Oryzias latipes: one gene and its partners. The protein of the gene in region 1 purifies or fractionates together with the protein of each later gene. This does not show direct contact. Links are inferred from orthologs where the notes say so. Each region holds a gene or a part of one and is shown on either strand. Other genes may lie near its edges. The genes, in order: ssb, larp7 and ybx1.

What was found.
Region 2: the proteins of ssb (region 1) and larp7 purify together in Homo sapiens (affinity purification with mass spectrometry; 4 studies listed by BioGRID and IntAct, with this or other methods). This does not show direct contact. The link is inferred for Oryzias latipes from reciprocal best matches to the Homo sapiens genes SSB and LARP7.
Region 3: the proteins of ssb (region 1) and ybx1 purify together in Homo sapiens (affinity purification with mass spectrometry; 3 studies listed by BioGRID and IntAct, with this or other methods). This does not show direct contact. The link is inferred for Oryzias latipes from reciprocal best matches to the Homo sapiens genes SSB and YBX1.

Annotation. Positions count from the first base shown.
Region 1 is NC_019879.2:21,745,446-21,749,201, forward strand, and holds the start of ssb (lupus La protein), read left to right. Parts: upstream 1-1,528; 5' UTR 1,529-1,649; intron 1,650-3,756. UniProt on the Homo sapiens protein: Binds to the 3' poly(U) terminus of nascent RNA polymerase III transcripts, protecting them from exonuclease digestion and facilitating their folding and maturation.
Region 2 is NC_019876.2:11,522,669-11,525,793, reverse strand, and holds the end of larp7 (la-related protein 7), read left to right. Parts: intron 1-144; coding exon 145-245; intron 246-374; coding exon 375-534; intron 535-616; coding exon 617-708; intron 709-2,189; coding exon 2,190-2,267; 3' UTR 2,268-2,529; downstream 2,530-3,125. Other genes in the region: uncharacterized protein LOC101168076, read right to left, coding at 3,001-3,125. UniProt on the Homo sapiens protein: RNA-binding protein that specifically binds distinct small nuclear RNA (snRNAs) and regulates their processing and function.
Region 3 is NC_019865.2:7,798,173-7,801,928, reverse strand, and holds the start of ybx1 (nuclease-sensitive element-binding protein 1), read right to left. Parts: upstream 2,227-3,756; 5' UTR 2,091-2,226; coding exon 1,979-2,090; intron 437-1,978; coding exon 373-436; intron 147-372; coding exon 113-146; intron 24-112; coding exon 1-23. UniProt on the Homo sapiens protein: DNA- and RNA-binding protein involved in various processes, such as translational repression, RNA stabilization, mRNA splicing, DNA repair and transcription regulation.

The DNA of each region.
Region 1 (3,756 bases):
AACGAACTACAAAGTAGCTTTTAGGATGACATTACAGCAGCACCTGTCGGGCATGTGCAGCATAACAAGACAAAGAGAAGCATGTAAAAAGTGTTTCTAACTGTGTTAAAATAAACATTCTAACAAATAAACAGTTGGACTCTTTTTTTCTGTTTGAAAACACGACAATCGTTGCTTTATATTTGTCCACCAGTCTGACGCAGGGCCACAATCACACATTAAGACTTTTTTGGGCAGTGGGAGGCAACCAGAGTCCACACAGAAAGGTCTCAATACATCCTCTTTAATGTACCCCACCCAGGACTCTGTGAGGTAATTGTTATAATATCATAGTGTATTACAGTGAATTTAACCCGTTTTTTCTCCCATTATTGTTATTAAATTAAAAGTGCAGTTCTTTGAGCTTAGTTGGTACTACAAATGTAAAGCAGGAGCAAAAAATGAAAACAATGTGCAAAAATTCTTGAAAGCCAAGATGAGTCAGTACACACAATACCTGGGTGTAGAAAATATTTTGAGAGGCTCAAGAGTACATTTAAAAATATGGTTTTTGTTTTTTTATTTTTGTAATTGTCACCGGATGGGGGCTCGAGAGCCGGTAGGACCCAGGCGCAGAGACGGGAGGCAAACGGGTTCAATGGCAAGGGGTTTAATTATAACAAACAAAAGGCGCTGCAGAGCAGGATGACAACAACAAAACAAAACTCACTGTGGCGTGGAACAAGAAACGAGGAACATGGCATGACAAGGACAACCAGGACAGGAATAACTAATGGACCAACACAGGAGGAAGGCAGAGACAAGACTTATATACAGACAGGGCAGACAAGACACAGGTGGACACGATCAGGGCTGAATGGGAACCAAAGGAAGTAAAACTCAAGAAACCAGACAAGACAGGAGACTTTCAAAATAAAACAGGAAACAGAAACAAGACAGAACAAGGACCAAAAACAAGACAACAAAATCAAATCATGACAGTAATGCTTAAAGTAACGTGTATTGATGGTTTCTTAATCTTTGTAAATAATGATACTAATGTTTACTCAAAAGCTGGGGGGCAAAGCTTTTTGCTGGGGGGGGGCAGCTTCCCCCTTTAGCTCCGCCCCTGCTGACTTGACTAAAAAAGCTAAGTTGACTTGAGTTTACTAAAATAACATTTTTTAATGAAAATCTTTTCACAGGGATGGATTTTTTGTTTCACTGAGGCAAATTATTAGTTTTTCAAACAGTAAAAAAATAAAATCAATTGGATTTTTCAAAATAGTCTACACATTTAAAGGAACATGCAAGAAAAAATCATCAGAAAATGGCACTGCGCTCAATGACACCATTTTCTGCACTTTTTCGTTTTTTAAATTTTTTTTCCATAAAAACTAATACATGGCCAGAATAACACCCTAAAAGAAATACTAAGTAATACTACCCATCGTGGTCCCTGAAGTCATAAAACGAGTTTTGTGTACTTCTGCCACCTGCTGTTTACGGCCTGAATTGGATGCACTATTGCTGAGTGAGCGAGGTCTGTCACGTTGGCTCTTTTTGACCCTCTGTGATTTCCGTAACACGCATTACTGCAACGTGCGAGCCCCGTAGTGAGGTCTTTAGGGTTAGAGTTGAAAACGCCGTGAGCAGAAACTATACACGTTGTAAGTATTGGTCATTATGACGGGGAAAATGTTTTAAGTATTGATTGTACATATTGAAAGGAAACGGGCTGTCTTTTTTATGGTAAAAGAAAAAAACATCCCATTCAGCATATTCGAGCGACATGCCGCGACCAATTGCGAAACCATGCTTCAATAACTAAACATATATGCACCGACATATTTTATCCATTGAAAATATAATATTTTCTCGACAGGCTCATGGTCACTTAGATGTAAAATTAGTGGTTTTCAGGGTCTTGAGGTGTGCGGGTTCTGTATTGACGTTAGTTAGCAATGGCAGCTAGCTAGCTCAGTCGAGTGTAATGAAAACAACATCAAATTCATTGCAAGTAGCATATATTATTATAGCAAGTTGTTGTTTGATGTTGGACTTTACGGTGTTTAACGTCCACGGAGTTTAGTTAAAGCCAAACTCTGTGTTATTTTGTTGCGGTGTATATAACTCGTTTGTTGAGCTTTGCAATGAAGTCGCACGAAAAAGGCATTACAATTTTTTTGGGCATTTATGCAGTAACAAAAACATAACCAGCTTTTTGGGCTCACAACTCAAAACCGTACACTACAAAATTGTTTCGTGAAAATGTAACACACATGTCTGACCTGCCAACTGCGCCCCACAGTGGTGAAAAACAAGCATTACACCACAGTTGGCAATGATCCACAAACCAGGTTTTTAACTGGACAAATACAGTGATCCCTTGCTATAACACGGTTTACTTTTCACGGTTTCGCTACTTCACGGATTTGCATCGTGCATTGTGTTCTGCATTCTGATTGGCTAAAAAGTCACTCAGCTTCTTCTCTACCTGTGCGTCAATAACGTTGCAGTTTAATATGTACACGTACGTAAAACAGCTTGCCAAATTTACATTATGTACGTGCAAATTCTCTTGATGTTGGCATGTCGGTGTATAAGGATGTTTTTGATGTTTTTGGGAAGAAGAAAAAAGAGCGACACCAACTATGATCACTATGTTCTTCTTCCCCCGAACAACACACCTGCAGCTGCACCGCGGGCTGCAAAAGAAGAAAACACTGCAGAGTAAAGTCAGGATGCAGCGGCTTAGTCTGGACTTAGAGCAGTTAAATACACCTATTTGTCCCACTGTACTTTTTTAAATCATTATTTTATAATGACAATTCTTCGGGTCGCGGTGGGCGGGGCTAATCTCCGCGATTTGAAGCCTTCTGTTCACATTGATGATTAAAATTATTATTTGACAGTACAGAACAGAAGTTATTTGTAGAAAAAAACGTTTCTAAGGTACTTTTATTGGTGAAACAAATGCTTGAGCCTGTAAAATGGTTTGTTCTGTCTTTTCAATGTATAATAGAGTATTTAAATGTATAATAATTGTTAAAAGATATAGAGGTTTCTACTTCACGGTTTTTGCCTATCACGGGTTCTTTCTGGAACGTAACCACCGCGAAAAACAAGGGTTTACTGTACATTCTTTTAGCAAGCTAAACTAAATGTATTTCTGTTGTGAAAGATAGTGGGTTTTCAAAATTCTCCTGAGTTTTTACTGAACAGTTGATGCACTTTCCACTGCAGCTTGCACTGAATGTCTGAAATAAACGAGCAAATAAGTTTTCTCTAGTACGCCAAGGAGAAAATAATGTCACCTTTCTCAGTTTTACCTGGTCCAACGTCACTATTTGGGTCAAAGCCTTGAATGAGATTTGATTAGGGAACACCACCAGGTCTGCTAAAGTTGACTATCAGCTCGCAACCCAGAAAACGTGTCATCATGGGTCAATTGTCATGTCATTTTTGCTCCACCACCATTTGGGGGGGGTTGCTGGAGCTTTTCCTCATCTTCTGCTAGTTTAGCTGTGCAGTAGATTGTTCAACGTGACCTTAAATTTTTATTTTTTATTTTTGTTTTTACAACTCATCATAGTTTGGAAATATCAATGCCTTTTTTTTCTAATTTCCCATTCAAAGCTCAGTTTTGTAAAGGGAATAATTAAGTATTCACATAACTTGCAATGAAAAGTAATTAAAGTGGAATTTTGATTATTAAAATTGGGAAATTTTAAATAAAAAACAAACAGAATGCAGACATTGATCCGTGGATGGGAT
Region 2 (3,125 bases), on another chromosome or scaffold:
GCATCGTGCCCACAGCCCCGCCCACAACTCAGAATTGAATTTCTAATGAACTACTGTTGCTCTGCAGAAACGATGTAAACTATGCTCATGTTCCTCGCAACTGATATACATAATGAAATGCAACATTATTTTGTTAACTTGCAGTTGAAAGCAAAAAAGAAAACAACCAGAGTCCTCAGTTTGTCAGTGGCGTCATCGTGAAGATCACAGACAGCAAACCTCTACCAGCAAGGAAGATCGTCAAGGTGCTGGATCCTTTCTGGCTTCTCTTTTTATGATTTGAAGCTGCAGTTTGTCATAGAAAATGCAGGATTTCTTGTCCGTGGGAGCAATGTTGTGGTTCAGGTTGTATAAGGTGTCACTGCTGTGTGCAGGAGATCCTGTGTGAAGTGTCTCAAGTGGCTTACGTCGACATCCTGGATGGAGATTCAGAGGGTTATGTGCGCTTTTTGACACCAGAGGGCGCCAAAGGTGTCTGCCAGGCCAAAGCACAGCTGCAGAAGGAGCACAGCTGGAAGGTTGAGATTCTAACAGGTGTGACATGGTTCCTCCAGTCCGTGTTTGAACGTCATCTTTTCCCATTGAGCTCAGGTTTGCTCTCTGACTTTTCCTAAAGGAGACCAAGAGCAGCGGTATTGGCATAAGATCCTCGTGGACCGCCAGGTGAAGCTGAATCGCCCCCGAGAAAAAAAGAGAGGCAAAGAGAAGGTGAAGTTCAGTCGCACGTCCTTGTGGTGCATCTCGGTTCTCAAACTAACACTTGCCAGTTGTCAATTGAAGTATTTGTTTCCTGTTTGGTAAGTAACAGTCAAAGGGCTGCTCGCCAGACAAAAAAAAAATACAAACTCTAACTTTGATTATTTCCGTTTTGTTTATTTTCTGATACTAAAGGAAGTTTTATTTTGGAAAACTACCAGATTCTGTTCACCACATCCGTCTGTCTTGACGCGTCACGTGACTTTAAGCAGCTGCTCGTTCGCTAAGTTAGTAGTTCAACACTTAAAAGCTAACAAAAACCAAACAATTCAACGTATTTGGAAAGTTTCTTTGGGGAGAAGAGTCAGTGAAGAAACTAAAGAAGAGTCTTTGGCTGCAAAGAAAATAAAGCTGCTATTTACAGACAGAACTAGAAGTTTTCCTCCAAATACGGATTTATTGAGACAATTGTTTTCACGTACCAGAAGCTGCTCGCTTTGCCTAATCAGGAATCAGGAAATCTTTATTGTCATTTTATCACATGATAAAACGAAATTAGGCTCTCTGGTCCCGGGCCAGCCGTTTACATTCAGACATAAATAAATAATATAATATCAATGTGATATCAATATGTTACGGTGTGGTTCCTGGTGAGTATTGCACAAAAAGTATGTTTCAATATGCAGCGACTGACACATATGCAGGTAATGAAGATGTAGACACGGTGGATTCATGTTTATTATCATGTTTATAAAATACCACTTTATAGACAGTTGTGTCATTATTTTTGCTTTCTTTATCCATCATTAAACGTTGAAGCTGAAGTTAGCATCCAGTTGTTGGCATCCACGTTGACGTTAAAGGGAAAATCTTCATCACAAAGTTTAAGTTTAACCAGCTGAAAACATTTTACGGAGAATGAAGATTCAATTCAGTTACTGATTAGTGGAAACTTATAAAAAGGAGATTTAGGAATTTTCCTACAGCAAGGCTGAATTATGCAGACATCTGTTAAGAAACTTGATCAAAGAAAATGTTCCTAAAAAAACACAATGAATCAGAATTTATGAAAAAACAAAATATGATCAATCTTTTTGTCCTGAAAGATGATCTGATACTGGCTTTAGTTCTCAGTGTTATAATGGTGTTCAATAAATTAACAATAAAAAATGCTTGTTTTAATTGCATTATTTACAAAACTGAAACAACTTCTACAAAACAACTTTGTTTCATTGAATTTTGGTTTTCTGTGAAAAAAATCTACCAATGTTACTAAAGTTCTTGTTATCTTTTGTTTTAATTATGTAGTGAAAACACCAGAGGGTTTTCTGGGTAAAAAAGTGTCATCATTTGCTTTAGATTTCCACATTGGTCGATCAAAAACGAAATTTCTGCCACTGGCTGGATCATTAAAGCAGACATGATTATTGAACAGAAACTCTTTTGCAGAAGCTTTTAAGGAACTCATCCAATCTTGTCTCATCTCCCCTCAGCTCATATCTAAAGCTGAAAAAATCATCATGGCAAGAGCCAAGGAGGCGAACAAGCACATCCGCTTTGAGGAGGACTGAGCTGCACACGTTCAACTGATGTTTCCTGTCTTGAAGGAGGACTTGAATGGTTTTAAGTAGTTTCTGTCCTTTTGGGGTTTTTTTTTGTTGTTTTTTTGGCACTAGAGTTCCAAAAATGCCACGTACTGCTGATAAAGACAGAGCTTTCTTTACCAGGTTCTTGTGTGTTTAAAGCAATCCTGTATAGATACTACATAAATGAACTCCAAATGAAAATCTTATTGTTTTTTTACTAATAAAGAAAACAGAAATTTCACGATCACAATGTTTGTTTTAAATTCAGACACTCCTGTGCTTGTTAAAGACTCACTTCCATTAATTTTTGATCCATTTTCAGAGCCTTCCCAGTGGTCTTTTCACTATGATCTGCTGTTTTTAGCCGAAATCAAAAGCCTGTTGTCTGGTGGGACATAGTTTCTGCAGAGCGGCAGTAGTTACCTCAGAGTTGTGGGCGGGACTGGTGGTTCAGAGCAACCCGACCCATAGCTGAGAGTCAATAGGGAGTCATCCTCACTAATACACTCTCTAATCTGCATTTTTTCCGTCTGGTCCTGATTCACAGCGGTTTGAATACAGACATACTCAGACTTTTCTAAATACATGTCTTCCATCGTCAAAAGGAACATGTTAAAAACATAATTATCATCGGAGTGGCTCTTTAAGATGGCTGTTTCATCAACATAGACGCTTACACATATCATGTCGGTTTGTTTTAATCTTTTAAGAAGACTTGTTAGTCTTGATGGAGGCTGATGAAGTAATTCAAGACAGAGTCCTGAGGAGGCTGGTTGTTGCAGCTTTGGTTTGGTTTGGAGACGTCCTCGTTTGTCTGGATAGCAGATTCCCAGCCGTCCTTTT
Region 3 (3,756 bases), on another chromosome or scaffold:
GGGTTGTTCTTCTTTATGGCTGTCTGAAATCATCAACAATTGAAAAGTGAATTAGTCGAAATAAAAAAAAAATGTTTTAAGTTTCCAAAAGGTTTGGAAAATAATAGGTCACCTGGTGTACAAAAACATCCTCTTTTGTGTCATTCCTGAACAAAAAGAGAAAAAAATAAAAAGATTCAGTTATACCACACATGACTTACTAAGACAACACACCTCTGAAGACAGATTGCAACTAAGCCAACAAGTGCAAGGATTAATGAAGTCTTGCAGGTTACAGTGTGCATGCAGACCACTAGAAAAAATAATCAGGTCAGCCACGTTAGCAAAGCAATAATCATAATAGGATTGGGAACGCTGGAGGTGGTCATTTACCTATTGATGAAACCATATCCATTCCTGACGTTGAACCACTTGACTGTACCCAAGACTTTTGTTGCTGCAATGAAAAACAGAGCAACTCAGTTATCAAGTGTCAATATTACTTCTCTAAGCTGCAAAGGTAATTTTAGAATAGCAGTAATGAAATTTTGAAAATATGATAATAGATTGGGAACAGTCAAAGCATCGCACATAATAAGATATGTGCAGGAAAAAACTAGCCATAGTGTGGACGTTAAAAATAACTTCCAACTGTCGTGCTTATTATAGATGCTGATGCTTAGGAGAGCCTGGCGCCAGCTGCTCCCGGTGTGAAGCTCCGGCCATGGTAGAAAACAGTCCAATTACATTGACTGCAAATGTGTGGAAGGAATGCGGATAACACGGGGAACAGAGCTTACGACACGTCAAACTTCAAAACAAGTAACCTCGCGTTTAGCAACTGCATTTAGAGAACTCGGACATTAAAGACCTACTGCCCCATTTTAAGACGCCCAGTTCACGACGTGAGCGTTCACACGTGGTAGGGTCGCACACGGACAGACCGAAAAACAAGCCGAGTTGGCTTCTTAGCTTAGCCGTGTAGCTAAGAGTTACAACCATGTGGTTGGAGTATAGCCAAAAAGCGGAAACCAACGTAATAAACCCATCAACATCTTACAGATGTTACTTCGAAACTACTTAAGCAAGCGCTTTTAGTACCTAAACCGAGCTAGAATAGAACTGTAACGTATAAACGGATCGTGTAACGGCGGACATTTTGGGTGGCCTTTTCAGCCATGTAAATAGCCAGCCAGCTAGCTGGCTAGGCTAACATTAGCATCGTTAGCAACTGGAAAGCTATCGTGAAATAATTAGGCCTCACCGAAAATGTAAAAAAAAAATCGAGTTAAAGCTTAGGACGGTTTGAATACAAATCCCAAAGCGTTTATTATTGAATATATCTAATAGTTACAAAATAAACTTGAAAACAACCACCTTTAAGCTTTGACAGAGAATACAGGGATTCGACACTTGTGCGAACAAAGGGATAGTAAGCAGCTAGCGTCAGTTGCCGGTGAACTTGTTAGTGTGAACTAACGCAGGGTATTTCCAAGTTTAAAACATTTATTCGTCATTTTTTCGGGTTTTGTTCGTACTTTTGGCGGTTAACGGTGAGAGATAAAGGTCTGCAACGTCTGGTAGTAAACATGCTGGATCTGACATAAATTACTCCTACGATCATCCATGTGACGGCCGTTTGGATGCATGCGTCTCTTTTTCGCAAATGTTTTCCCACCAAGACAGAAAATCATGGATTAAGTGGTTATTTACTACATTTCTAAGATGTGGATTTTTCCTAAACTTGTGACATCTCATAGTTAATGAGAATGATACGCTATTAATGAATAACCGTTCCCAACTGACAGTTTTTAAAATGTATAATTATATTGACAGTTGGTATCACAATTCGACGTACGGTTTAACGTCCAACTACTTAATAAAGTTGATCGTAACGGTCATTTTACATTAACATAATTCAACGGCTGTTTCTGTCTCGTTTACAGCAACATAAACCACGTTTAGCATCTAGTTAGCTAAGTGGAGTCGGCAGTCTTACCGATGACCTTCTTATCCCCCGCGGAAGCTGCAGCTGCCGGGCTGGATGGGCTTTCCGCATCATCGGCAGCAGGCTGCGGTGGTTGTTGTTGTGTCTCGGCCTCGCTGCTCATAGTTACTGGTTGGTAATGGCTTCTGCCGGCGGCGGCTCTCTGCTATTTTTCCCGGTGCTAGATGGTAACGTGGGCCGGCGGTGGTGGGGGCTACTGCCTTCGGGCTCTCAGCTTTCCTCTTTCCGCTCCCGTTGCCGATCGAACTGGGCAGAATCAGTAGTTGTGTTGGGGAATGTTCTTGGTTGTGGCCCCGCCCATTCGAGCTTTTCACTGGCTGGAATTATTGACTGAATGCGTCACAGAAAAAAGGCGTCCTCTGATTGGCTAGACTACTGTCAGTCTAGTTGAAGCGACGCGTTTTCACGAACGGTTGGTTAAAGGTACCGTACCTGTCAGTTTTCACCGCCCCATTGTAATCATGTGTCAGATGCATAAAACTAAAAAAAAAGACGCATAAAGCTAGTGTTGATCCACGTAAACCCCTTTTAAAACCGTAGTTAAACAACATTTTTATGGCATTATTAGGAAATATTAGCCTACTTTTAAATATTGCTGGAGGCTAACAATTTATGTAAAATTTCAAAAAGTTTGACTCCCACAAAAGAATCAGAATATATTGTAAATTTAAAAAAACATCCACAATATTGCTTTTTTATTTTTACTTTTAAAATGAATGGTTGTTACCTGTAAATAGTGATGATTAAACATCAAAAACCAAACTTGATAACCAAAATACAAAAGATCCAATCTGCAAATTTTTAGATTTGACTTTTTGCAAAGAGAATTAGATTTTGTGAGGTGAACATTTGTGAGGACCAACCATTCAACCTGCATTCTTTGAACCCTTATAACATTAAATGCACATGAACTGTTTAAGGGAAATGCTTATTGCATATTAATTGTATTTTCTACACATAGAACAAAAGAAGAGCTTAATAAATCTTTAACAAAATGACAGTGAATTTCACATGTGAAAACCATGCACCATTCTTTCCTAGTTAGCTTGGCATAGTTGGGATGTCTTGTCTTGTAGTCCCTCTTGATATTGAATTTCTTGAAAACATCCAGCCTCTTGCATGTTTAGTATCTTACTGAAAAAAATACACAAATTTCTACTTGTCCTGAAAGCAGCGACCCCCAATTGTCAACATTTGTTAAATTTACAGTCGACATTTTAGAAATGAGCTAAAAGGTATTGCAAAAGGGTCACATCATAGTGTTGCCATAGGTTTAAAATGGTTTATAAAGTAGGCAATCATAATCAAGAAATCATACACAGTTTCCTGGGAGCACATTTATTTTTATAAAAGGTACCAGCAGGCTAGAAGAGGCTTTCAGGAGGGCTGCATTTGGCCAGACTTTGTAGAGATCTAGAAAGAAACCTTTGACAGGTTTCTGAACCCACCTTGGACCGGCCAGACTTTGGACATGCCTGCCTTAAATGGTGAGAACAAGAATAACTCCATATTTAAAGTGAACTTTCAAGACAATCCTGCCCTTTTTTGAGAAATATTAAATAGAAATATAGAAAATATTCCAGCACTGACTGGAATATTTGAAACAATCTCCGTGTTTCTTGAAAAAAAGAGATTTTTTTCAGATCGGACGTTTTGTATGTAGGGTGTGTATTCCTTTCACATATTTTTTTAGTTGTTATAACCTGGTATTGTACTGCTTCACTGCATGTGACCCATCACCTGGGGGAGCAATGAGCTGCACACACGGC